Mus musculus: one gene and its partners. The protein of the gene in region 1 interacts with the protein of each later gene in a pairwise test. Links are inferred from orthologs where the notes say so. Each region holds a gene or a part of one and is shown in the gene's direction. Other genes may lie near its edges.

What was found.
Region 2: the proteins of Ushbp1 (region 1) and Ccdc120 interact in binary tests that used the Homo sapiens proteins (3 or more experiments, as listed by UniProt). The two-hybrid records come from large-scale screens. The link is inferred for Mus musculus from reciprocal best matches to the Homo sapiens genes USHBP1 and CCDC120.
Region 3: the proteins of Ushbp1 (region 1) and Parvg interact in binary tests that used the Homo sapiens proteins (3 or more experiments, as listed by UniProt). The two-hybrid records come from large-scale screens. The link is inferred for Mus musculus from reciprocal best matches to the Homo sapiens genes USHBP1 and PARVG.
Region 4: the proteins of Ushbp1 (region 1) and Sertad3 interact in binary tests that used the Homo sapiens proteins (3 or more experiments, as listed by UniProt). The two-hybrid records come from large-scale screens. The link is inferred for Mus musculus from reciprocal best matches to the Homo sapiens genes USHBP1 and SERTAD3.

The regions. Positions count from the first base shown.
Region 1 is NC_000074.6:71,388,295-71,393,997, reverse strand, and holds part of Ushbp1 (Usher syndrome type-1C protein-binding protein 1), read left to right. Parts: intron 1-1,482; coding exon 1,483-1,608; intron 1,609-2,943; coding exon 2,944-3,077; intron 3,078-3,216; coding exon 3,217-3,357; intron 3,358-3,812; coding exon 3,813-3,977; intron 3,978-4,992; coding exon 4,993-5,242; intron 5,243-5,703.
Region 2 is NC_000086.7:7,737,138-7,743,438, reverse strand, and holds the start of Ccdc120 (coiled-coil domain-containing protein 120), read left to right. Parts: upstream 1-2,114; 5' UTR 2,115-2,227; intron 2,228-4,915; 5' UTR 4,916-5,069; intron 5,070-5,186; 5' UTR 5,187-5,228; coding exon 5,229-5,277; intron 5,278-5,411; coding exon 5,412-5,545; intron 5,546-5,999; coding exon 6,000-6,140; intron 6,141-6,301. UniProt on the Homo sapiens protein: Centriolar protein required for centriole subdistal appendage assembly and microtubule anchoring in interphase cells. Together with CCDC68, cooperate with subdistal appendage components ODF2, NIN and CEP170 for hierarchical subdistal appendage assembly.
Region 3 is NC_000081.6:84,322,536-84,328,906, forward strand, and holds the start of Parvg (gamma-parvin), read left to right. Parts: upstream 1-2,184; 5' UTR 2,185-2,296; intron 2,297-3,583; exon of another isoform or gene 3,584-3,598; coding exon of another isoform or gene 3,599-3,740; intron 3,741-4,452; coding exon of another isoform or gene 4,453-4,469; coding exon 4,470-4,548; intron 4,549-5,759; coding exon 5,760-5,824; intron 5,825-6,226; exon of another isoform or gene 6,227-6,328; coding exon 6,329-6,371. UniProt on the Homo sapiens protein: Plays a role with ILK in promoting the cell adhesion and spreading of leukocytes.
Region 4 is NC_000073.6:27,471,834-27,478,026, forward strand, and holds Sertad3 (SERTA domain-containing protein 3), read left to right. Parts: upstream 1-2,006; 5' UTR 2,007-2,038; intron 2,039-4,306; 5' UTR 4,307-4,309; coding exon 4,310-4,903; 3' UTR 4,904-5,531; downstream 5,532-6,193.

The DNA.
Region 1 (5,703 bases):
GGCTGTCCTGAACTTACTAGGGTAGACTAGGGTGGCCTCAAAATCACAGAGATCCACCTGCCTCTGCTTTCCCAGTGCTGGGATTAAAGGTGTGAGCTATGCCAGACTTATTTTAGGGTTTCTATTGCTGTAATAAAACACCTCAACCAAAAGCAACTGGGGAGGAAGAGATTTATTTCATCTTAAGACTCTCAGGCCACACTCCATCACTGAGGGAAGCTCGGGCAGGAACCTCAAGGCATGGAGGGATGCTGCTTACTGGCTTGCTCCCTATGGCTTGCTCAGCCTGCTTTCTTATAGAACCAGGACCAACAGCCCAGGGATGGCACCACCCACAATGGGCTGGCCCCTCCCTCCCCATCAATTGTCAATCAGAAAAGTGTCCACAGGTCCATTTCGGGGAGCATTTTCTCAATTGTGGTCCCTCTTCCAAAATGATTCCAGTTGATGTCAAGTTCACACGAACCACCACAGATCCTGAGATCACTGTGGCTGGAACAGAGTGGGAGAGATGAAGGCGCGTGGGGGAAGGCCACAGTATGCAGGGTGTTGAAAGCTAGTGTGCTCTGGTGTGTGGTGGATTCTGAGGGGAACTGACCTGCTGCAGGCGTTCACTTGTGCCATCTGATGACTGTGAGCGGAACAGTCTGGCGGTGGACCATAATCCTGAAGGTGGAGGAGGGGTGAAGTGGCCCGGGGCGTTTAGTGGAGGTGACCAGAAACCTACAGATTATGGGTGATGTTAAACCCAGATATGGTGGGACAAGCCTGTAATGATAAGGACTTCAGAGGCTCAGATGAGAGGATCACAGTTTAACACTAGCTTTGACGAGATAGGCAAATGTCTCAAAACAAAACTAGGACAAGTAGGGATACAGAATCCTCCAGTCAGGGCTGTGGGCGTGACTGGGGGGGGTAGAGTGACAGCCTAGAATCCTCCAATGAGGGGCTAGGGGCGTGGCTTAGCACAGCTTTCAGAGACTTCTCACAACAACAAAAATGAATTCTCCTGAATGTAGTGGGCACACTTGAAATCTCAACTACTTGGGAGGCTGAAGTGGGGGGTGGCTTCAGTTGGGGAGGTATAAATGACTAAAAATTTAGAAAGGAATAAAGTGGAGAGGGCTGGAGAGTTGTCTCAGCAGTTAAGAGCACTGGCTGCTCTTCCAGAAGACCCAGGTTTGATTCAAAGAATCCAAGTGGCATCTCACAACTGACTCTAGTTCTAAGGGACCTGACACCCTCACACAGACACACATGCAGGGAAAATGCCAATGTATATAAATAAAAAAATTAATCTTAAAAATATAAAAAACGTGGTGATCGTCCTGTGTCCCCCATCACCTTGCCAGTAGCTACACTCCCCTAGTTAGGCCTCTGTGGCAGCTGGGGACCGTTCCAGGCCACATTGACGGGGCTGCTGTTGCTGTAGAGAATTGGTTGAATATGTGAAGCCATGGCCTGATCCCCTATCACTGGCAGGTACAGGAGCTGGAGGATTCCCTGATGCAGATGGAGGCCTCCCCACCTACCCCCATCCTCAGAGCAGGGCGTAGAAACAGCAACTCCAGTACTTCTGGGGCAGAAAGGAGACCCTGGGTACCTCAGGTAAGCCTAAAGTCTTCTGAGTCCAAGTCATGATGTTCCCAGCATTCCCAGTGTGAGTGGTAACCGTCAGTTTGTGCTTTATGGGATGCCATAATATTGTGTGACAAAAAGTTTTCCTGGGGAAACACTACACACATCAACTGACCACAGATGGGGAGCCTGTGGCACATCAAAATATGGACACCACCAATGTCCAATTTGGTGAACCAATGAGTTTTATTGGGGTTACAAATAGGACTAAGGCTATATATTATGGGTATGAATATGGGTACATATAGGATTGTAGTTACATATAGGTTGATGGGCAGAATGATTCAAAGACAGCTGCATCACCAAAGCCTGAGTGACAGCGTGACAGCATGAGTGACAGTGTGAATGATAGCGTGAGTGATAACTCACAAAAGCTGGGGACATAGAGCTCACTACAAAGCCTGCAGGTTGGAGATTGTTCCTTCTTAGTGACTCTGGTCTCACCCTTCTTCAGACAGCTGGTCTGGTCTCAAGGTCTTCTTTGCACACTTGTTTGTTCTCTCATCTCAGAGGGACTTTCCTTACTCTGGCAGGGAGGGGCCTAGTCCATCTGTTTAGTTTCTCAGACTTTCTGAAACTAGAGTTGTTTACCTTCCTGCTTCAGGAGCAAATCTGCAGGATGGAATGTCTCTATCTGGGAGGAAACTGTCCATACAACCTGTAGTATCTGAAAGAACTAAACAGGACTTGGAAACATGGCTCGATGGTTAGGGGTGCTAGCTGTTCTCATAGAGTACTCAGGTTCAGTTCTCTGTACCCACATGGCAGCTCACAATCATCTGCAACTCTTCATTCCAGGAGATCTGATGCCTTCTTCAGGGCTCCACAGGCACCAGGCATGCACATACACAGGCAAACACCCATACACAGAAGATTAAAAGAAAAAAAGCTTAAATCACCAGTTTGGTAGCTCAAAGCAGTCACCCCCTAGTCATTCTAACCACTTAAGAAGCGGAGACGTGACTAGTAAGAAAAAATAAAATCATTGGTGAGATGCTTCAGCTTTTTGGAGCACTCAACCCCCTGGATCCCACAAAGTAAAAAGAGAGAACTGACTCCAGTGTGCTATCCCCTGACACCCATTCACATACCATGGTGCGCACGCACGCACGCACGCACGCATACATCCCACATATGTATACCAACACTCCCCAAAGCAAAGATGCAGCTGTACCTTAGTGGTGAAACAGATGGGTAACATGATCCAAGGCCCTGGTTCCACCCCCAGCCCTGCAAAAAAAAAGGGGGAGAAAAACACCTCTGGGGCTTTGATGTCAGGTAAATCAAGTCATGTCTTCCTGGCAGGACTCTTCCATGGCTCACCCCTTTCTCCAACGCCTCCGGAGTGACTCCAGCACCCAGAGCTTTGGGTGCCTTTCCACACAGCATCCAGCCCCAGAGACGTACCTCATGGAAGACCAGATGGGGCAGCTCCAGGGGTGAGCAGCTGAGTTACAGCTGCTGAGCTTTTAAAGATACCATTACTCTTGCCACTGGGTTGTGGTGGGGAGGGGGGAAAACCAGCCCTGGGTGATTGGAGCCTCACTCACCTTCCCTGTTGCCCACCTTTGGAGGCAGGAGCATTGAGAAGTTGAAGTGCTTCAACCGTCTTCTTCTGGCTGTGCTCCAGGGCTACAAGGGCCGTTGTGAGAGCCTCAGCATTAAGCTGGCCAAGCGGGAAGCCGAGGCCACAGCCCTGCGCCTGGCTCTGCAGTATAGGTGCGTGCCTGCTCCCAGTGATGGTGGTGGCTGAGGGTGGCATGGTGTTGCATGCCAGGATGGTACAGAGGGACACACAACCTTCAGAGGGTGCATTGCCTCACCATGACATGTTACTCTGACCCATAAAGAATGAGTGGTGGCGCATGCCTTTAATCCCAGCACTTGGAAGGCAGAGACAGGCAGATTTCTGAGTTCGAGGTCAGCCTGGTCCACAGAGTTAGTTCCAGGACAGCCAGGGCTACACAGAGAAACCCTGTCTCGAAAACCAAAAATAAATAAATAAATAAATAAATAAAAGAACAAGTGGTGGGAGGTGTCTTTTGTGGATTGTTGTATATTATTTGAGACAGGGTCTCACTGTGTAGCCCAGACTGGCCTGGAACTCACAGAGATCTGCCTGCCTCTGCCTGGGTTGGGGCTGAGTACTGAAACATTTAGATCCTATCCCACAGTGAGGACTGTGAGGAGGTGTATGAGGTGCTGCTAGCTCTGAAGATGGCTGGCCTAGGAACTGGAGTTGGAACTACCAAGGGTGACCTGCAGGCTGCTGAGAAGGAGGCCTCTAGGCTGCTGATGAAGAAGGAAGCAACCATGGAGGTAGAGACACCCCAGCCCAGGTACCTATAGGGGGCACAAGAGTTGCTGGTCTATGAGAGTGACTGGGGCATGTCCCAGAGACTGCTGTACAAAGGGCTTTGGTGTCAGGGGCATTGGACACTGCCCAGCATTGGCTCTGAGCTGTCTAACCATGTTTGGCTGACACAAGGTCTGACTGGAGTAGGTTACTCAGTGGCACCAGGTACGCTAATTGTCTTTGATCTTAGTACTCAGGAGACAGAGTTAGAGTAGTTCCAGGCTAGCCCACACAGTGTGATTCTGTTTGAAATAAATACAACACCAAATACACACATTCGCAAAGCATCAAGTGCCGTGGACCCTGGTTTTAGTCTCTAAAACTGGGTTTAAAAAAAATCAGTGACGTTTATTAAGTTTATTAGGTTATTGTTAAGTTTTGGCTCATGACTTCAGAGGTGTCAATTCATCATAGCAGGCAGGAAGTAAAGAGGAGGGGTACAGGAAGTGGCCAGGGCTTCACATAGCCCCAAAGGAAAGTGGCACTGATGACAGGCAATCTGTAAACCTGGCAAGGTTATCAATGCACTTCTAAGGAGTGTCCATGGCAATGACTGTAAGCTCCTGGTTTTGTCTCTGCACAGAGAGTCTTCACTGCCAATGCAGCCTTGGTGTCCAGCATGAGCTGGGCACACCTCAGAAGTGAATTCAAACTCCCCTAGTGACATAGTTACTACTATCAAGGCTCACCACCTTGCAGCGTACTGAAGGCGACCTCTGGTATTGAATTCCTGACACTCCTGCCTCCATCTCCTGAGAGCTGGGATGTTAACATGGTGCCAGGCATGGAACCCCATGCATGCTAGGCAAGCTCTGTGGACTGAGTTACAATCACTCTACTGGCTGAGCCCCAGTACCTGCCATATTATAATACTGGAAGATTGTTCACTGGGTGTAGGTTGTGCTATGGATGCTCTTGGTAGGCCCTAGGTGGCATAAAACTGTGGTTCCTAAGAGCTATGTGTTGGGAACAGCTGGTCTACCTCCTGTCTCTTATAGCTCAGAGGGCAGTGGTGTGGACAAGCCTACACCAGAGGAACTGGCCTCTCAGCTCCATGGCTATGTCCAGCATCTCCGGGAACGCTGGGCTCTGGTGAAGATCCCCGAAGAACTTGGCCCTGTCACTGCACCCAAGGCCACTATGCCCCATGCAGAAGCAACAGTGCAGGCCATTCTGGAGATACAACCTGGCCCCACCTTGCCCCATCTGGAGAAGTCTCAGATCCAGCAGGACCTAGCAGCTACTCGGGTAGGAACATGCTGAGATGGTCACGACAAATCCTTGATGATGTCATTGGAGCCCAGAGGCAAGCAGGGTATCCCTTAGGTGGGGAGCTGGTTTCTTGTATGAAGGAGAACTGGAAGTGAAGTTTTGAGGACTGCATAGGAGTTTGTCCTCCTGATTAGGTTTTCCATAAGATTCTATAAGTTCCCTTTGGTTGCTATGATGAAATAAATCTCTGACAGGAACAATTTCAGGAAGGAAGGTTTGTTCCTGCTTGGCTGACAGTTCCAGGGTGTGGTCTGTCATGGCAGGAAGTCATGACTGCCAGAGCCTGAGGCGGCTATCACATTGCCTCTGTAGTTAGGAAGCAAAGAGAGATGCATGCTTCAGCTCACTTCTTATTCAGCCCAACACCACAGCCCAGGGGATATGGGTGTCTTATTCAGTCCAGCACCACAGCCTAGGGGATATGGGTGTCTTCACCT
Region 2 (6,301 bases), on another chromosome or scaffold:
AAGTAAGTGAAATCTTAAAATTTTTCATAGGTGTAATTTTTAACCGTGTGTGTGTGTGTGTGTGTGTGTGTGTGTGTGGTGCATGTGCACAGGTACCTGAGAGATGTTGAATTTCCCTGGAATTGGATTTATAGGAGGTTGTGAGCTACTATATGGATGCTCAAATCGAACTCAGGTCTTCCGGAGGAACAGTGTATATGTATGTGTGTATGTATATTATATATAATATACACATGTATGTATATATTATATATATGTATATTATATATTATATAATATATGATATATAGTATATGATACATGTATATTATATATTATATATTATATGTCTAATATGTAATATTAGACATACTGTATATTATACATGTTATACACACACACATACACCCTTTAAATATTGAACCACCTCTCTAATTCCAAATATCTTGTTCTTATGATTGGCCATTAATGATTTGGTGTGAGTTATATGTTCTTGTGGACCCTGTTGTCTATTTTGTCCATTTTACAGATGAGGTAACCAAAACTCTGAGGCTCTATCTGAATTATTTTCCTAATTTTTCATTTCTCTTGTCCCTGGTTATAAACATCCATTTTCCCAGCTGTCTGTAGTGGTACACACCTTTAATCCCAGCACTCAGGAAGCAGAGGCAGGCAGATTTCTGTTAGTTTGAGGCCAACCTCGTCTACAAAAAAGTCCAGGACAGCCAGGGCTCTGTTCCACAGAGAAACCATGTCTTGAAAAACAAAAACTTAAGAAAAAAAATCCATTTCCCAACATGCTTGGTGGCCTCCTGCAAGGGGGGTGGGGAGGGGTCCATGGCTGCCAAGAGGATGTCAGCTTGCTCCTTGCCTCCACTAGCAGTCCAAAGGAGGGAGAAGGGAGGAAGGAGATGGAAAGGGCCTTTGTGTTCCACACATACATTTCATAACCCGGAAGAAAGGTGGGCACCTGGGGCAGCAGGCCTTGATAACATGTGACTGGGGGAACTCTTCTCTAGGCTCTCCTCCCCAACAGGGAACACCCCTAAAACCCTCCCTGTTCATACATGGCAGCGGCTGCTATAGGGGTTAGGTTTGGGTTCTGAGGTCACAAAATAGATTGTCTTACCTGGAGTACAGCATGTTTGGTATGTGCCCAAGACAAGCTTAGGGCCCAGGTAGGGTTGTGTTGAAGGGCATTAGAGGGACTTAGAGTTTTCAATTTATTTCCCTGTCTGCTTCGCTCCAGGCTAGAAATGTTAACAGGGAGAACATGGATAAAGTTGAGTCTTCGTATTCTTTCTCCTTTCAGGAGTAGCCAGTGGCTCCTCTAGCGCAGGGCCCAGTCTAGTACTCTGGTTCTGCTCCTTCTTATGGTTGTTTTTGTTTCTTTGTTTGTTTGTTTCTGTGTAGCCCTGGCTGTCCTGGAACTAGTTCTGTAGACCAGGCTGGTCTCGAACTCAGAGCTGCCTGCCTCTGCCTCCTGAGTGCTGGGATTAAAGGAAGGTGTGTCCCACCCCAGCTGGCTCTTTCCTGTGCCTTTACATTAGTATGTTCTCAGTCAGGCCTCCCATTTCTACCATGGCTCAGAGCTCAGCGGAGGCTGGCTCTGTGCCGCCCCTCAGGTTGTAGGGTATAGATGATGGTGTTTCCTAGGTTTATTTGTTCCTGGAGTACAGAAGGTGGGAGTGTCTTAAGATCTGGTCTCTCCTTAGAAAGGTCAACTTCTCTCTGCAGCTTAGAAAATCATCATCCTAATTATGGGAGAAATTGATCCAAGATATGTGTGTGTGTGTGTGTGTGTGTGTGTGTCCATGTCTATGTCTGTTTGTCTATTTCACAGTTTCCTAGCCCCCATGTCCCGGGGTGTAGGCAGGCTCCAGTGGCCTGGGGATTTGGGCAGTGGCTCCTCCCACAATTCTTAGAGCTTATTGGCCAGTTATCTCTTAGATATCCGCAGTGAGGAAAGCATTCTATGCTTTCTCCTTGACCATATTGGGCTCCCCGAGGCACCTGGTCCCCCAGACTGCCTTCCCAGGGGTGACCCTAGCCCTGGAAGCGGGCAGGTAAGGGTTAAAAGGTGTGGGCCAACCCCATCCTGTCCAGGTAGGTTGGGCCTTTACCTAGTGGGAGGTAGCCAAGACAGCAGTCACTGCTGTTCACTTGTACTGCCAGGAAAGCTAGGGCCTGGACGAGACAACTGTTCTTTTGGAAATATTTGAGGCTGCCATCCAGCACTAGGGCATTGGTGAGTACCAGCGAGCAATGGGGCAGGGCCGTGAGATAGGGTAATGGCACAGGAACTGAGGAAGTTCCCTTCTAGAGATCCAGATCTGAGGAAGGAGGACCCTGAGAATATAGGGTAGCGATAGGAGGGGTGGTGTTCAGTATGGGAGGATCAGGGGACCAGGGCAAAGCCTCACGTGTCCATTTTCCTTTCTTGATATCAAAATAATTCTTGGTTGGAAAATGGAGGAGGAAGGACGGGGCAGAGACTCAGCCTTCTCTTCTCGGCCCCTCTCCCCCTTTTTATCAGGACTAGTGCCTCAGAGAAGACGAGCTGAACCGATTAGATACCACTGTTGTTCAGGCATCTGTATCTGCTTGTCCCTCTGTTTGTTTGTTCAGCCAGAGTAATTGAAGGGGGTGTGCTGTATGTTTGGGGGAGCAATGGGGATCAGGTCCAGACTCTGTGTGCATTTGCTCAAGTGGTGGCAGGATGTGGAAATGGGGCTCTCATTGACAGTGTTGGAGTGCCACCCAGGTGAAGTATCTTGGTTGTAAACAGTCATTACAGCCAGGAATTTTTCTCAGCCGTGGTGTCAGAAGGGCAGACCTGAAAAACCTGCTGGGCCTGCCTCTGTGTGTGTGTGTTTCCCCGCATGTGCCCTCTGTAGCTCGCTTGCTGCAACCTAAGCCCGTAACAGGACCACAGAATGACAAGGCAAAGCTCTGGTGTGGGCAGGAGGGTCTCAGAGGTTCATATGAGGGCATGGTAGTGATGCTGGAATGTGGTAGATTGCCTTCTTACTATCTCTGTCTGATGTCAGGCAGTCTGAAGTTCCAAGTGTACAGAACATGGAAGAGTAGAAGCAAAGGTTCCTGAGTCAGGTATGGAGGTGTGGGGCGTTGATCCATGTCTAGCCTGCCTAGTGACCCAATGACTCATGCCATAACTATGTCCCTGAGGTCAGACTGATGGGGTGGAGTCGGGGTTCCTGACTGGACCCTGTGTCGACTCCGGGATACTCTAATTTTCTAAAGAAGGAAGGACGGAGGCCCTCTGATGTGAAACATGAGACAATGTTGGTGAACGGGTAAATGGACCCAAGGTGGGAGGAGTTAGCTTTCTGTTGGGGTGGAGAAGGGTTCAGGCAAGCCTTGTGAAAGTTTTCCGAATTAAAATGGGTCCTGGGAAAGTAGAAGTTTCGGGGGCTGAGGGACCGAGGAGGCTGAGGTGGGACACTAAAGACACCCTACCATGCCGAAAGTGCTGGACCTCAGATGGGTGGGCTTGTGAGACCCCCTGCAGTGTACAAACTTTCTGTACAAAAGGCTTATGGGATTGCCTAACCATTGCAGTGGAGGATAGTCCATGAGTCCTTTGAGGGAGGGATACAGACTCTGTGGGACAAGCAGAAGACTGTAGAGAAAACTGGGGGGCGGGGGTACCTTGTAGACAGTCTGAGCACACCCTATAGTGTGAAAATGGGGAAGGGGCTTCTCCTTGGCGTTCTTGGTTTTCTGGGTCTGCTCTACCACATCATGACAAGCTGTGGATTTCAAGGGGTCGGGGGGGGGGGGTGTTAAAACGAGAACTCTGCTGTCTCTGATAGGCCTTCCTAGTCACCTGCCTTAGAGGCTAGGACAGGTGGTGGGAGGTGATGTCACCTGCTTGCCCAGCTGGGGACTGAGCAGGATGTGGGAGGGAGGGAGCAAACTCCAGAAAAGCACAAGAAGGGCTGGCAGCTCGCCAACGCGTGCTCCATGATCAGCCAGTGCTTCCCGGGACAAAAAGAGGGGCAGGTAATGTGTTTTCTGTGGCTGTGGATGGCGCTTCTCGCCCTTCTCAGCAGGGTAACTTCTGTATGCTAGTCTCAGAACAGGGTGGGAGGGAAGAGGGGCTGGAGGGAGCCTGAGGTCGTGGGGCAGCAGGATGGAATTAGGAAGATAGATGCAGAGCCACCCCTGATGCCTGGCTTGGCTACCTTGCAGTTATTCACCCCGCTGGCATCCGTTTGTGGACTGCTTGCTGTGTGCAGCCGTGCTTGAGGTGCCGGGGCTATGATACGCTGGGGCAGACGTGCTTCCTGTCAAAATGACAATACAGGGAGGGGCAGTGTCTTTTTCAACAGTAGCTGTGAGAAGACATCACTCAGGGGCCACCTCGGAAAAGGACATTTAAGCCTTAGAATGAGCTGGGTGTGGTAGTGCCTGTCTCTAGATTCCTAGCATGTGGGAGGCTAAGGGAGGATTGCCATGAGTTCAAGACCAGTGTGGGTTACACAGTGACTTTCAGGCTGATGCTACAAGAGCGAGACCTTATGTCAAAACAAAAACAGCCCCAAAATGATAAGCGAGAAATAAAAATCAAGTGGTAAGAGGCTGGAAACAGCACCCTAGGCTGTGGCCACAGCCTGGGCAAAGGCCCTAAAGCTGGATGGATGGGTCGAGGCACTCAAGAGGACATTATTAGGGTTGGAGCTGTTCCGTGAGAGGGGTGGTCCTAGGCTCTGCCCTTTACTGGGGAATTATTTCACTTCTGTGTGCTTTCCACCCCTCATCTCAAAAGGAAAGTTAATAATGATGGACCTCCTGCCTGAGGGGTTTGAAAGATTCATTGTAATATAGCAGGTAGCTGTTCCAGGCACCCAAGGCTGCGAAAGTGCTTACTGTTGTTACACCTAGTTGACTCTACTGTTAATTCTCTCCCTAGGTGAGACTCCTGGCTGTGGCCTATGGGCCTCTGAGGAGGTGTTGTAAGTCTGCCCAGCTTCCCACTTACTGTGTTAGCACTCAATGGGAAGGGAACCAAGGTACCAGGCCAAGCGGGTCCAGACATTGACACAGAATCTGAGAGGAAAGGCCAGGTAGGCAGGTGGGACCTGGGTACTTTATATTTTCAGCTGATGCAAGGGGAGTGGGGATGGCCTAGGGGTTCTATGGCATTATCTTCCTCAGCGCCTCTTGTGCTGTGTTACTGCCAGGCTTTATCCAGCCATCAGCCACAAGGTCCAAGCGGTGCAAGGATGGAAGTCAAAGGTCAGCTGATCAGTTCTCCTACCTTCACGGCCCCAGGTCAGTGGCTGCTTCCACTTACTACTGCCCTCCCCCTGCCCCAGTCTCCCTGTGCCTGCTTGGGAGGGGTTGGCCCCTGGACCTGCAGTTGTTCCAGGATGTCCTATCTGTCCTTACCTTTGCTTCCTCTGCAGCTGCCCTGTTTGGAGAGGCTGCCCCACTGGTGAAGTCAGACCGTCTTCGAGGGCTGCTTGACCGCCAGCGAGCCTTGCAAGAGGCCCTGAGCGTAAAACTTCAAGAGCTCAGGAAAGTGTGTCTGCAGGAGGCGGTGAGGGCCTGGCCCCAGGGCTGTCATGCAGGAGGGGGTGAGGAGCCAGGCGACCTAGGCAGGCATACTGCAGTGATGGGTGCCCAACCTCTTGTCTCGGCATTTAGTAGTTTTTGGTACATTGTGGTTCCTCAAAGTTTGACTTAGAGGTCACTTTAATTGGATTCCGAAAATGCAGCCCCTGTAGTGCATCATAGGGACTGGGCTTTTATAATTGTGAAAACTAAGAACACGGGCCTCCCGATTTCCAAGATTCCTATGCTCAGTGACCCAGAGACTTGGCCCGCTGGAGAACTATACGCCCTACCCCGGGTGCTAGAGACCTTGAGAGGTGGCGATCTAATACATGTGGAGTATTGAGCAGGGCCAAGCTCCTTGGGAGGGCTAGTTTCTTACCCTTATTACTTAATGTCATCCCTCTAACTCTCAGAGTCTCTGGCCACATTCCTTCCAGGAGCTAACTGGTCAGCTGCCCCCTGAGTGCCCACTGGAGCCTGGTGAACGACCTCAGTTGGTCCGCCGGAGGCCCCCTGCAGCACGTGCCTACCCTCCACCACACCCAAACCCAGCACACCACTCCTTGTGTCCTGCTGAGGTGAGCTGATGCTGGTGAGGGGCGGGGACAAGCCAGGGCACAATGGCGGTTAGGGCCAGGAGGAGAAGAAGCAGAGAGGAGGGCAAGGATTTGAATAGGTGGATTTCCCCATGCACTATGGGAACCCAAGTCTATCCAGACAAGCCCCTCATCCTGTCCCC
Region 3 (6,371 bases), on another chromosome or scaffold:
AAGGGAGAGAGAGAGAGAGAGGGAGGGAGAGAGAGAGAGAGAGAGAGAGAGAGAGAGAGAGAGAGAGAGAGAGAGAGACTGGCCATGAGCACATGGGGGAGAGGGGGAAGGGAATGGAATGGGGACAGAGGGGAAAGACGGTAAGAGAAGAGAGGGAGGAAGGAGGGTTTACCTTTTATAGTGACTCAGGCACACCTAGCTGATGCCAGGTAACTGTGGGGCAGAGCCTAGAAGGAATGCCAACCACCACTTCAAGGCAGATGAATGGCAGGGCCAGCTCTCCGGAGCTCTCACTCTCAGGGCTGGCCCACCTGTGCCCCCTCCATTGTGTTGGCTCCCGCTGAAGACTGGCCATGTGGATGGCCAGCCCCTGGGTGACATCGTCCATCCATACTTCGTGGCATGGTAGCAAGATGGTCTCTACAGTCTGCTTGTGCCATGTGCCCTGGAGCTGGTCTGTGGGCAGCATGGTTCTGCAGGTCTCTGTCTTCTCCCTCACACACTGGGCTCCACGGTGGTAGGCAGGCTCTGGGTGTCTATGGCCCACCCATGCTGTGGGGCAGAAGTCATGTCGGGGTGGAATGGTGGAATGCAGGTCTCTGTCTTCCTTCTCCCATGCTGTGCTGCCTGGATTTGGTTTGATTTGATTCGATTTGATTTGATTTGATTTGATTTATATGTCCTAGGCATAAAACAGCTGTGGTCACCAAGCCAGGTATCAAGCTAGGGTGCACTAAGGACTGCCATCTGCTCTGCCCCTGACTGATATAAGAACAGCACCAACAACAAGGTGTCTCTTTGCCCAATGCCAGGGGGATTTTCTTTTTCTTTTTTAAAGAGAGTGTCTCATGTACTCTTGAAGTCTAGGCCGGCCTTGAACTTCTGATCCTCCTGCCTCCAGCTTCTGAGAGCTGGATCACACATGTCCTCTCCCATGCCTAGTTTATGAGGTGCCGGGGATTGAACTCGGGGCTTCCTGCATGCTAGACAGACACTCTATCAATTGAGCTCTATTTCCAGCCTCCATCAGGCATTTTGTCATAGGACCAACACAGTCCTTTAAGCAATAACAGCCATCAAAATATGCTCATTGATCCCATTTTGTGCCTGGTGCTATTGTAGGCACTGACTTTTAGTAGTGAGTGGGAAAGATGGGTTCCAACCTGTAGAGCTCCTGGTTTGATGGTGAGACAGCTATCAGGCACCAGCCCATGTCATCAGCTGATCTAGCATGGCTGCACACCGGGTGTGATGGCGCACGCCTTTAATCCCAGCACTCGGGAGGCAGAGGCAGGCAGATTTCTGAGTTCGAGGCTAGCCTGGTCTACAAAGTGAGTTCCAGGACAGCCAGGGCTACACAGAGAAACCCTGTCTCGAAGAAAAGGAAAAAAAAGGATAGTTTTAGCATGGCTGCAAGCCCAAGACCATTGTAAAAGAAAAGGATGTTGTGGAAGACTTCCTATAGGAGGAGGTACCAAAGCTCATGCCAAGAAGGAGTTGTGAGCCATGTGAAGAGTTGAGCAGAGCTTACAAGACATGGGGACAGGCATTGTGACATCAAAGTAAAAGCCTGAGGCACTGGCAGAGAACAGGCAGGTGTTGTGCGGTTTATAGGGAGAGGATGGGAGGGCTGGGGAAGCTGGGGAAAGTAGCTTGTGGGTGCAGAGACTCGGGCTGAGACCTGGAGACTGGCTTTATTTAGGAGCCTTTGGCTGGGTGTAGTGGCTCCTGCCTGTAACTCAGATATGTAAGAGATGGAGGCAGGAGAATCAGGAGTTGAAGGACCACCTCAGCTTGGTGACTTTGAGGTCAGTCTGAGCTACATGAGACTGTCTTGAAGTTAGTCCATCAGCAAGTGAGAAAGCAAGCAAGCTTGGTTGGAGCAAGCAAGCTTGGTTGGAGGGCCGCTCAGAGGGAGGCAGAGGTGCAGGCTGGGCACCATGAGAAAAAGGCAGTGGAGAACACAGTTTGCTGTTGGGGTCCTATCCTTGCTGTTATGTTTCAGACAGTGATTGTCTGGATTGATGGAGAGGCGGGGGCAGGGAGGGAAGTATGAGAGACCCCGTGATGCCATGGAGTCTTGGAAGACTAGGGGCAGGGGTTCTGGCAGTCTTTCAGTGGATTTAGGGTACCTCGCTCATCAGCAACTTAGAGGAGGAAGCTGTCTGCAGCCACCGGGGTGGCAGAGGAAGTGAACAGAAGCCCTGCCTTCCACCTCCGGAACCTGTCTGCGTTGGGAACCTGGTCACCCTCTAAGCTAGTGGGCTCCATTTCCTGATTTGAAAAGAAGCAGCGGGTGAGTGCATCTAATCTTTGGCCTGTGGGGTCCCTGAGCTATTAGAATCTTCTACCTGTTCACATGTCCGGGTAGTGGACCTCAGAGAGGAAGGTGGAGAGGTTCCTTGAATAGAAACCCAGAGGCACATCTCAGCTGGGAGCTCACAGTCAGGGGGATCTGCCAAAGGGGAGCCCCACATCCAGCCACGTTGCTGAGGCCATTGCATCATTTTACTGAGGATCTGTGAGACCCGTCCCCACAGGAAAGCTCTGACTACCTCCCCCACAGCCAGATGAGCAGTTTTCAGACCAGAGCCACTCAGAGCTTTACCGCATGAGAGAAAGCCGAGTTCCCCACCATGAAGAAACTGCTGTTTGGGGCAGGGAAGGAACCCACCTGGGACCGGTCACCAGAGGCAGTTTCAGGTCTATGTGTACTTGGCTGGACACAGGGTCTAGCTTCTCCCTGTAGAGTTGCATCAGAGTCAAAGAGAGAGCGTGCTGGCCTATAGTCACCCAGTCTGAGTAGGAGGAGCTGGCTGGGGCCCAGGCTCCCCACCCCAGCCCAACTCTCTTTTCTCTTGCTCAGTTTGTGGGGTTTGGAACTCATTCCCAGGGGGCTCTGGCCTTTTGCTCCTGGCTTCAGGGTAGGACTCAGTTTCCCAAGGTTCCCAGGCTGTAGCCAGTTTGAGGATGGTGGCTCTCAGCACCGCCCCCCCCCCCCCCCCAGTGCCTCTTCTTCAGCACAACTCTCAGGTTCCTTGTTGTGAATTTCCTTCCAGTTTGACCCCAGACCTCCAGTATCCCAGTGAGCCTGGGAATCCCAGGCTCGTGCAGAGGCTGAACGAGGGACATAAGGGAAGAGTCAAAGGTGGCCATGCGGCAAATGAAACTTCCAGAGGGGAAGTGTGGGCGGAAGAACCAGAAGTAGGTTAGGGAACCAGAAGGGGGCCATTAGCTTCTGAATCTGATCCTTGCTGGGTACGGGCAGGCCTGACAGTGCTCATCACGAAGCTGGCTGTGGGGGATGGGAAGGTGGGGTGGGATGGGACTGCTGGTCTCAGTCTCAGGCCTGACACTGCGCATTGCATTGTGAGGCTGGGGCGGGGGCGGGGAAGACACGACACACTGCTGGTCTCAGGCCCATCACGAGGACGAGGAGGGACTGCTGGTCTTTCACAAGGAGCACGAGCTCTGGGCTTCGTGAGCAAAAGCCCTGACAGACCACACCCCAAGTCTGGGGGTGCGGAGCCAATTGGCGAAAGACTCATTCAAAACTGGAGGCTGGATGGGCCAGCCTCCCTCTGTGAGGCAAGCTAACATGGATTGGGGAACACGTCTGGGTGGCTTTGGCCTTCAGCCTGGTCCACCCCATCTACATCTGGGAGAGTCTGGTCTGTTTTTTACCTGTCTTGGATTCAGGGACCCTGAAGGGATGGATGGACGGCCACTTCACCCCACTGGTGGGTGCTTACCCTCATACAGATTAACCCAGAGCTCCCTTCCCACACTTGTCTGATGCTCTGTGGAAACTGGGGTGCTGACCTGGATGTAGAGAGAGGGTTGAGGTTCCTGGCCAGGCTTCCATGTGCCTGGCTGGCAGGGAACTTGCTTGCTTCCCAAGCTTTTGCCCAGGCTGTGCCCTCAGCCTGTGCGTTTTTAACCTTCCTTGTCGTGAGAAAATATCTTGACAAAAGGAACTTAAGAAAGGGAGGTTTTCTTTAGCTTCCACTTTGAAAGCACAGCCCCTTCAGAGGGAGCAGGAGGCCACTGGCCAAGCTGCATCGGAAAGAGGAGAGACAAATGAGGTTTCTCAGTTTGTTCTCTTCAGTTTCATTCAGCCCAAGATCAGCCCATGGGACAGCACTTTCCTTCTTACACTGAGGGAATCTAGGCATGCCCAGAGCTTTGCCTATCAGGTGAGTCTAGATCCTGCCAAGGCAAAAATCAGGATAAATCACCACAGCCAGCCTGGTAACTTGTCTGCCCCTGCAAGGTTTGGTTGACTTCAGGTGTCTCACACCAGGCTTCATTCCTCACACTTGGCCCTCAGTGTCTTGCCCACTCAGTGTCGGACTCCCGTCCTCCATCCATCTCTCCCAGTCTGAATGAAAGAATGAACACATGGTGAGCCTTGGCCTTAGAGACAGTAATGCACTCTCCTGTCTCTTCCAGGGAAGGCAAGGAAGAAGATGGAGTTAGAGTTCCTCTATGACCTGTTGCAGCTCCCAAAGGAGGTAGCTCAGCCCACGGAGGAAGAGCTTCCACGAGGTCCTGGTCCTAGTGGGACAGAGTTGTTGGATCAGGGGAGGGGGATAATGTGTGACCAGCTAACTAGAACAAGACAGGTTGTATCTGGTGACCACTCATGTATCCATCCATGTATCCATCCACCCATCCATCCATCCATCCATGATCCTTCCATCCATCTACCCATTCATTCATCCATCCATTTATCCATCCATCCATCCATCCATCCATTCATCCTTCCATCCATTCTTCATCCATATATTCATCCATCCACCCACCCATCCACCATCCATTCATCCATCCACCATCCATCCATCCATTCACTCACCAGCCATCATCCATCCATCATCCATCTACTATCCATTCATCCACCATCCATTCATCTATCCATCCATCCACCTATTCATCCACTCTCCATCCATCATCCATCCACCAATCCATCCATCCACCTTCCATTCTCTATTCATCTTGTCCACTCACTCATCCATGAATCACCCATCCCTTCATCCACACACCCATCCACACATTTATCCCTCCCTCCTTTTTTCCTTCCCTCCATCCCTCCATATTCACTCACTAGCTCACTCGTGTCATCAGGAGCTGACCCCAGGCCAGCACATGACTGCAGTGCTCTATGTCTTCTCCCACCAGGAGTGGGTATACTCCAGGTTTTGGGAGATCAAGCGTCTAGTAGGTCACATAGCAGGTTACATTTTATGAGCTTGGGCAAGTCAGTCCATTCCCTGACTCAGTTTCTTCAATGTTCATTGAGATCAGTTGACCCACAAAAGCCCCTCTGGGGCTGATGCTTTCTTGGTTTTACAAATTTAAAATGTGGAGACCCTGCTGACCAAGGTCTCAGGGAAGGGAATGGCCAAGCCAAAGGGGGCACAGAGGGGCCCCAGTGATCCACTCTGGCCAGAGGTGCTTAGCAGCATAGGTGATGCCTACCTCCGCCTGGCATGCCCCTTGCTCTCTTGGGTTGTTTTTTACCCTAGGCAGGTAGGCAGGGCTTCTAAAAGATGCTACACATTTGACTCATGACCTTCAGAGTAAGGGGTGATTTCTGAGTTTACATGTGTACCTCCAGTGTGAAGTGCTCATGAGGAAATATGAATGACAGGCAGAACGAGGCTCTACCAGGAGCCTGGGATCAGTGGGTGACCTGAAGGGAGATAGCTGCCAAGGGCCCTCAGGGTTCTCACACATGTCATACCCACCTCTGCTTCCAGGAGGAAAGAAGAAATATCTGTCACCCAATTCCAAGAGGAACCCCAAGTTTGAAGAACTGCAGAAGGTACGCCACCACCATCCCCAGTCCTGAAGTCTCTGGAGCCAGGCTTGGTGCCCCTTGGTGTTGTTATAGACACAACACCCCTGTCCACACCCTATCCCAACAGTTCTCTTTTCTATGCCAAGAACATACCCCTTCTTTCCTCTGGAAACCTCTGTTTCTATAGCTCTCTCTTGGAGGCAAACTAGGCCTTGTAACCAAGTGCCCATTGGCAGCTCTTGTCATCACCCAATTCCCTAGCCATGTCTCCAGGTTTAGATGTTTGCTACAGCAATGGCAACTCCCAGGTACGGAAACCTCACATACCAGGATGATAGCTCCTGGCTTGCGGGCTCAGGCAGGTGTCTGGGAGATCTTGAGGTGGGGAAGATCTTTGCGAGCTCAGAGCAAGTTCTGAATGACTAGGGAGAACTTTCTGGAACTCGACTAGACCTTGAAGAGTGGGTAGGAGTTGCTGACCTGGCCAGGTGATTCCTGATCCCGTCAGCTGTCCCTGGTGACCAGCAGGTGCTGATGGAATGGATCAACACCACACTCCTCCCGGAGCACA
Region 4 (6,193 bases), on another chromosome or scaffold:
AGGCCTGATGTTGCATCCCTGCCTCCCATGGGCTGGAAGGACTCTCTCAAATTGTCACCTGACCTCAACATGCATGTCACGGTACACATAAACCCAAAATAAATACGTTCTATTTTTTTAAATAAATAAGTTCCTGGCCAACCTGGGCTACATGAGACCTCAACTTGAAAGCAAAACAAAGAGTTGGAGAGAGGGTTCAGTGAGGACCCAGGTTTGATTCACAGCACCTACGTGGTGGCTCACAACTGTCAGTAACTCTCCCGGGAGATCTGATGCCTCTGACTTTTGTAGACACCAGGTATGTATATGGTGCACATACATACATACATACATACATACATACATACAGGCAAAACACTCACACGTGTAAAATAAATTAAAAAAAAAAAAAAAAAGCAAAACCAAGAGAATGGTGGCTCCGCGCCTTTAATCCCAACATTTGTGGGACAAAGGCCAGCCTGGTCTAGAGAGTAAGTTCCAGGACAACCAGAGTTACACAAAGAAACTGTCTCAAAAAAAAAAAAAAGAAAAGAAAAGAAAAGAAAAAAAGGCATTAAAAACAAACAACTAAACAAAGCAAAACCAAGAACATCTGAAGAACATTTGAGAGTCTGGCTGTCTCACTGCTGAGAGTGTGCCTTGAATTGGACCCTTGCAATAAGGTAAGGGAGAAAAGCCCTGTGTTTATTTCTTAGGAGATATTGGAAGCCATCTTAGAAAAACTGAAAGCAAGCTAGACAAGCTGGTAATGCCTAAATCCTAGCACTAGAAAAACGAAGCAGGAAGATGAAAGATTCCAGAATAGCTTAGGCTACACAGCAAAACGCTGTCTCAGAAAACAAACAAAAAAGTGGCTGGGGATGTAGCTCAGTGATAAGAGTACTTTGGCTAGCACCACCTCGGTGTTCCGTGCCCAACACCACAAAAACTAAGCAAAAGGAATTTTCTTTAGGGACACACCTGCAGCTCCAGGACTAGCAATATGGAAGCCAAGCATGATTAGAATTTCAAGGCCCTTGTCTACACTGGAGTCCTGCTTCACGAGACTGCCTAAAACAAAAAGAATCCGAAAGTGAGTCCTAGAAAACAGGAAGGAGGGTACCAGAGACCAAATAGTGAAGAGCAAGCTAACCCTTCACTACGAAACCATATCACAAAATTAAACACACACACACACACACACACAAAATTTTAAATCTTAGCTCAGTTCTACGGTGTTTGTTCAAAATGCTCAAATGTTAAATCCCCAAAACTAAAAATAATAATAATAATAATAAGTTTGAGTTTGTTCCCAGAGTTGTGAGCAGTCTTTAAGAGTAAACAGCAACAGGCAGACAAATGCGGAAAACGAAAGCGTTGCCTGGGATCCAGGAGGTTCCCCCAAACAAGCAGCAGACCCCTCTAGGTTAAGCATAGACTCCTCCTACAAGACGGGTTGGGGGTGGGGAAGCAGAGCTCCGCCAGCTAAGGGGCGGGGCTGCGGTCGTTCAGGCAACGCAAGCCGCATCATGCTATTGGCTGCTGTCTAGTGCGTCATCCCCCCCCCCGCCCTCCGGTTTGACCCAGCCTTCGGAACTCCGGGGGGCGTGGCCTCCACCATCTGCCCCAAGCCTGCAAAACCGCAGGGAGGGGAGAATGGTGTCACCCGGTGTCACTCTTCAGTGGGGTCTGGTATAAGGGGTCTGCAGTGAAACAGAGGAGTGAGAAACACAGCTGGGTCCAAAGTAGCAGTTCTGACGGCGTTACCAGACTCCACCGTGGAGACTCCGCTCCGCCCCCTGACCAGTAGCCAACCTAAACCGGACCCGGCCCAGTGATGGACGGGGCCTAGCATCCGTGGCTCCTCTTAGCCAATGGCGCCCCGCGGCGGGCAGGATTCCAACCAATCCTGGCTTGCGACTGGCCTCCGGGGAGGAGCCGAGTGGCCCCCAGCCAGACCCAGAGGCCCGGGGAAAGTGAGCCGGACTTCTACCCAGCACTGGTGGAACCCAACCCTGCAGGCTTGTCGGAGGTAGTCGTGGCGACCCTGGCAGCCGAGGTGAGGAGTGGCCGCCTGTGTGAGATTTCCCTGGAGTTAGAGGAGGACGGGGGCGCGCCCCCACGGTAGGCGGAAGCGGGGTATCCCGAGTGGAGAGCAGATTGGTGTGATTGATGGACATTGGAGGGTGGAAGGCTGAATTCCAGCATCAGCACCGAAGGGGGAGCAGGATTACTCAGGAGTTGGAGTTTGGAGAAGCCAGGAAAACGGAGAAAGAACTTTGGAGGAGAGTGTAGGACAGTTTGAGTCTCGAAGAATAGGCTGAGTTTGGAGTTCCACGGTGTTCTGGACAAAGTGAGCGTTTTAAGGCTAGGATATGAAGCATTTAGAGGAACCCGGGAACTAGAGGAACCGAGTATTGGATTCTGAGACGCCGTCGTGAGAAGGGAATGCCGGGGAAGAGTTCACTGACTGGGTCTCGGAGCCGGACTGGGTATTTGGAAAGCCAGAGTCATTTGAAAGTGGAGCCGAATGAGGGGAGATTTGGGACGAGGTCTCAGAATTGGGATATCCAGTTTCGCCGGCGGAACTATGTACCCGAGAGTTATTTGTCGTCTTTGGGCGATGTGATGGGATTTGGACCTCTGCACACCGAGGACAGTTTGGGGAAGAATCCAGAACTTCCTGGGGTGATAGGGACCCAGAGAAAACAGGTTTCTGACTGAAGCCTGGTGGGGGAGGGGCGCTCGGGGCGTGGAGCTCGGATTCACCGCCCCGAAGGCAGTAGAGGGCGGGGCTCGGCGGCCGCTGGGCAGCTGAAGTCCGGGTTCCCTTCCCCCACCAGCCGGAGCTCCCGTACGCATGCTCTCAGAGAGGGCGGGCGTGTCCAGTCTCTTGGGTGTGCTGGGCCTTCTGGGGATTGTAGTTCCAACGCGACAGCCGAAGCTCTGCCTGGAGCCTTTGGGTCCACAGTTCCCAGAAGGCCCTGAGGATACATTGAGGTGTTCTTGGGTCTGGTCTAGCGACCCAGGGAAGGGTGGTGCCTATAAAAAGAGATGATTGGGTTGGACTGGTCGCTAGAGGGTGCAGTTTGTGGTTAGTTTCGCTCTAGCTGGCTTTCCTTTGGGTCGGAGTTTGGGAAATACTCCCTCTCTTTTGAGAGGTCATAGACTCAATTGTAGGAAGCAGGTACGGACAGAAATATTCTTGTTAAAAAAGGAGAAAAAAAAAAGAATTTAAACACACACGTCCCAGCTAAGCCTCGTCTCACACACATTTAATCCCAGCCTTCAGGGAGGAAGAGGCGGTACGATATGAGTTCGAGACACAGCCTGATCCACATAGGGAGTTCCAGAGCAATACAGAGAAACCCTGTCTCAAGTTTGGGTTTGGTCCATTACTCTGTGCTCCATACCTGTTTGTCCTGTGACCTGTTAGGAAAAAAGTATTGTGGGAAAACAATAACAAGATCTATTGAGACCAGAGTTAGGATTTTCACTTTCCAAATGTTAAAATTGATTACCATAATGTAAATTCAACGTTGTGCCTACCACAGACAAGTGATACTCAAGCCATGCCCGGATGTTTTGGTGATTTGTTTTAGGGCTTTTTTGTTTTTCTGAGACAGGTTTGTCTGACCATATTAAACTCTACCTGCTTCTGCCTCCTGGATGGGTGCTGAAATTAATGGCATAGGACACCATCTGCAATTTTTTTTTCTGTTCATTTTCCTATTTTAAATTTTATGTGTATGGATGTTTTGCCTGCATGCTTGTCTGGGCACTACTTGTGTGCCTGGTGGCAAAGGAGGCCAGAAGAAGCCATGGATCCTCTAAAAGTGGAGTTTTAGGCAGTCCTGAGCCATCCATGCAGGTTCTGGGGATCGAACTTGGATCCTCTAGAAGAACAGACAGTGCTCGTAACCACTCAGCAATTTTTCCAGCTCCTTTTATTTTTGAGACACTGCCTAGCTGAGGGTGACCTTGAACATCTGAACTCACTGCCTCCTTAATACAGAGGAGGTGACAGCTACAGGAGTCTCTCCACCCTCACTACTACCTGCTCCCACTCTGTGTCCTGTGCACCCCTCCTCACACTCACTTACCAGTCCCAGCAATCCTATCTGCATCTTGTTCTCTCAATCACATTGCATGCATTAATTTACCCATTCTTAGCCTTGTGGGATTCTCTGTGCACTTTAAATGGAGGTTCTGATACACACACACATACACACACACACACACACACACACAAAAGCTTCCCATAGCTACACAGGCTTGCTTGAAGAAGTAAGGTCCCAAGGTATCTGACTCCACTCTTTTTTCACAGGACATGGGAGGCTTAAAGAGGAAACATTCTGATTTGGAAGAGGAGGAGGAAGAGGAGAAGTGGGACTGGAGTCCAACAGCTCTTCGGAGCTACCAGCAAGCCCTGCTCCGAATCTCTCTGGACAAAGTCCAGCGCAGCCTGGGCCCCAGAGCACCCAGCCTCCGCAGGCACGTCCTTATCCACAACACACTCCAGCAGCTCCAGGCTGCCATTCGCCTCGCTCCAGCACCAGCCCTGCCCCCGGAACCTCTCTTCCTAGGTGAAGAAGATTTCTCCCTATCTACCACCATCGGTTCCATCCTCAGGGAGCTAGATACATCCATGGATGAGATGGAGCCGCCTCTGAATCCAGCAGCTTCCTCGAGTCCCCAGAATGAGATCGTGTCCCAGGCTGATCCTGTATTCTTAGAAGCTCTGAGCTCAAGGTACCTGGGAGACTCTGGCCTGGATGACTTCTTTCTGGACATTGATACATCTGCGGTGGAAAAGGACGTTGCACTTCCACCCCCGGAGCCGCCGCACAGCCTCTTCTGTAGCCCAGGATCCTGGGAGTGGAATGAACTGGACCACATCATGGAAATCATCCTGGGATCCTAAAGCTGATGGGATTCTTCCGGGCGTCAGCCTCAGTGCGCTGGGCCTTAGATGGGACTCTTGTATGTGTGCGTGGCGGAGGCGCTAGACAGAGACTGTGTGGCCTCCTTTCCTCCTATGTCAGGATTCCACAAACTGTCCTGCATGTGTGCGTGTCTGGTTGCCACAGCCTTCCGTGAAGGTGCGTCTTCCTCAATTAATTTATCTCTTCCGAATGCCTTAAGGAGACTCTATTTCAGGGAGTCTAGATTCCTCGCTTACACATTTCTTCTGCCTCCAGTTCCCACTGTCCTTATGACCACTAGGGTCTCAGGGAAGATAAAACTGGACCTGTCAAGGGGTGATGGAGGGGCTGGTCTCCGGACAGACTCAACCTCTTGGCAGGACCCCAGTACCAGCAGCCTCCTGATTCATAACCAGGCCGGACCATGTGCAATAGGGCAGAAGTCTACCAGCTCCATGCTGTGCTACTTAAGAGGAAAGAGGAGGTAGGGTTTGCAGAGGCGTATGTTTGTTGGTTGGTTGGTTGGTTGGTTGGTTTGGGGGGATTTTTTGAGTGAAATTTGTTGTTGTTGTTGTTGTTCTTGTTTTTTTGTTTTTGTTTTTTTCTAATAAAAGCATTTTGGAAATATTGGAATTGTAATTAAATCTGTAAACATCTCTGGGGTGATCTGGGGAAGAGCCTGCTAAGTTTCTCCAATACTTAACATCCTTTCCTTAACAAAAGTAGAGCAGCCGGGCGGTGGTGGCGCATGCCTTTAATCCAGGCACTTGGGAGGCAGAGGCAGTTGGATTTCTGAGTTCCAGGCCAGCCTGGTCTACAGAGTGAGTTCCAGGACAGCCAGGACTGCACAGAGAAACCCTGTCTCAAAAACACAAAAACAAACAAAAGTAGAGCAAGTGTAATATTGTATAAAGTGTAACAGTTGCTGGTTGCTTAAGGATACTGTCAGAACCACTTTATGCAAATTAAACCCTTTAATCCTCAGGATTAGAAAGAAACATATACTGTGTCAAATTCTACATTTGCATAGGGGAAATCTCAAATTTAAGGGCTTAGAGTACATAGTTGAAGTCTTGCTTAGTATATGTCCTGGGGTTGAACCCCATCTGCAAAAACAACTGTTTGTTTTGTTTGAAACGGTCTCACAGTGTAGTACCAACTGTCCTTAAACTCACTGAGATCCAATTGCCTCTGCCTCCCAAATGATGCACACCAACACCTTGCTACAATAGCGTTTTGAAGCCTGAAGTTTAGAGACAGAGAGGAAAGGAACAATAGGAGTAAGATTC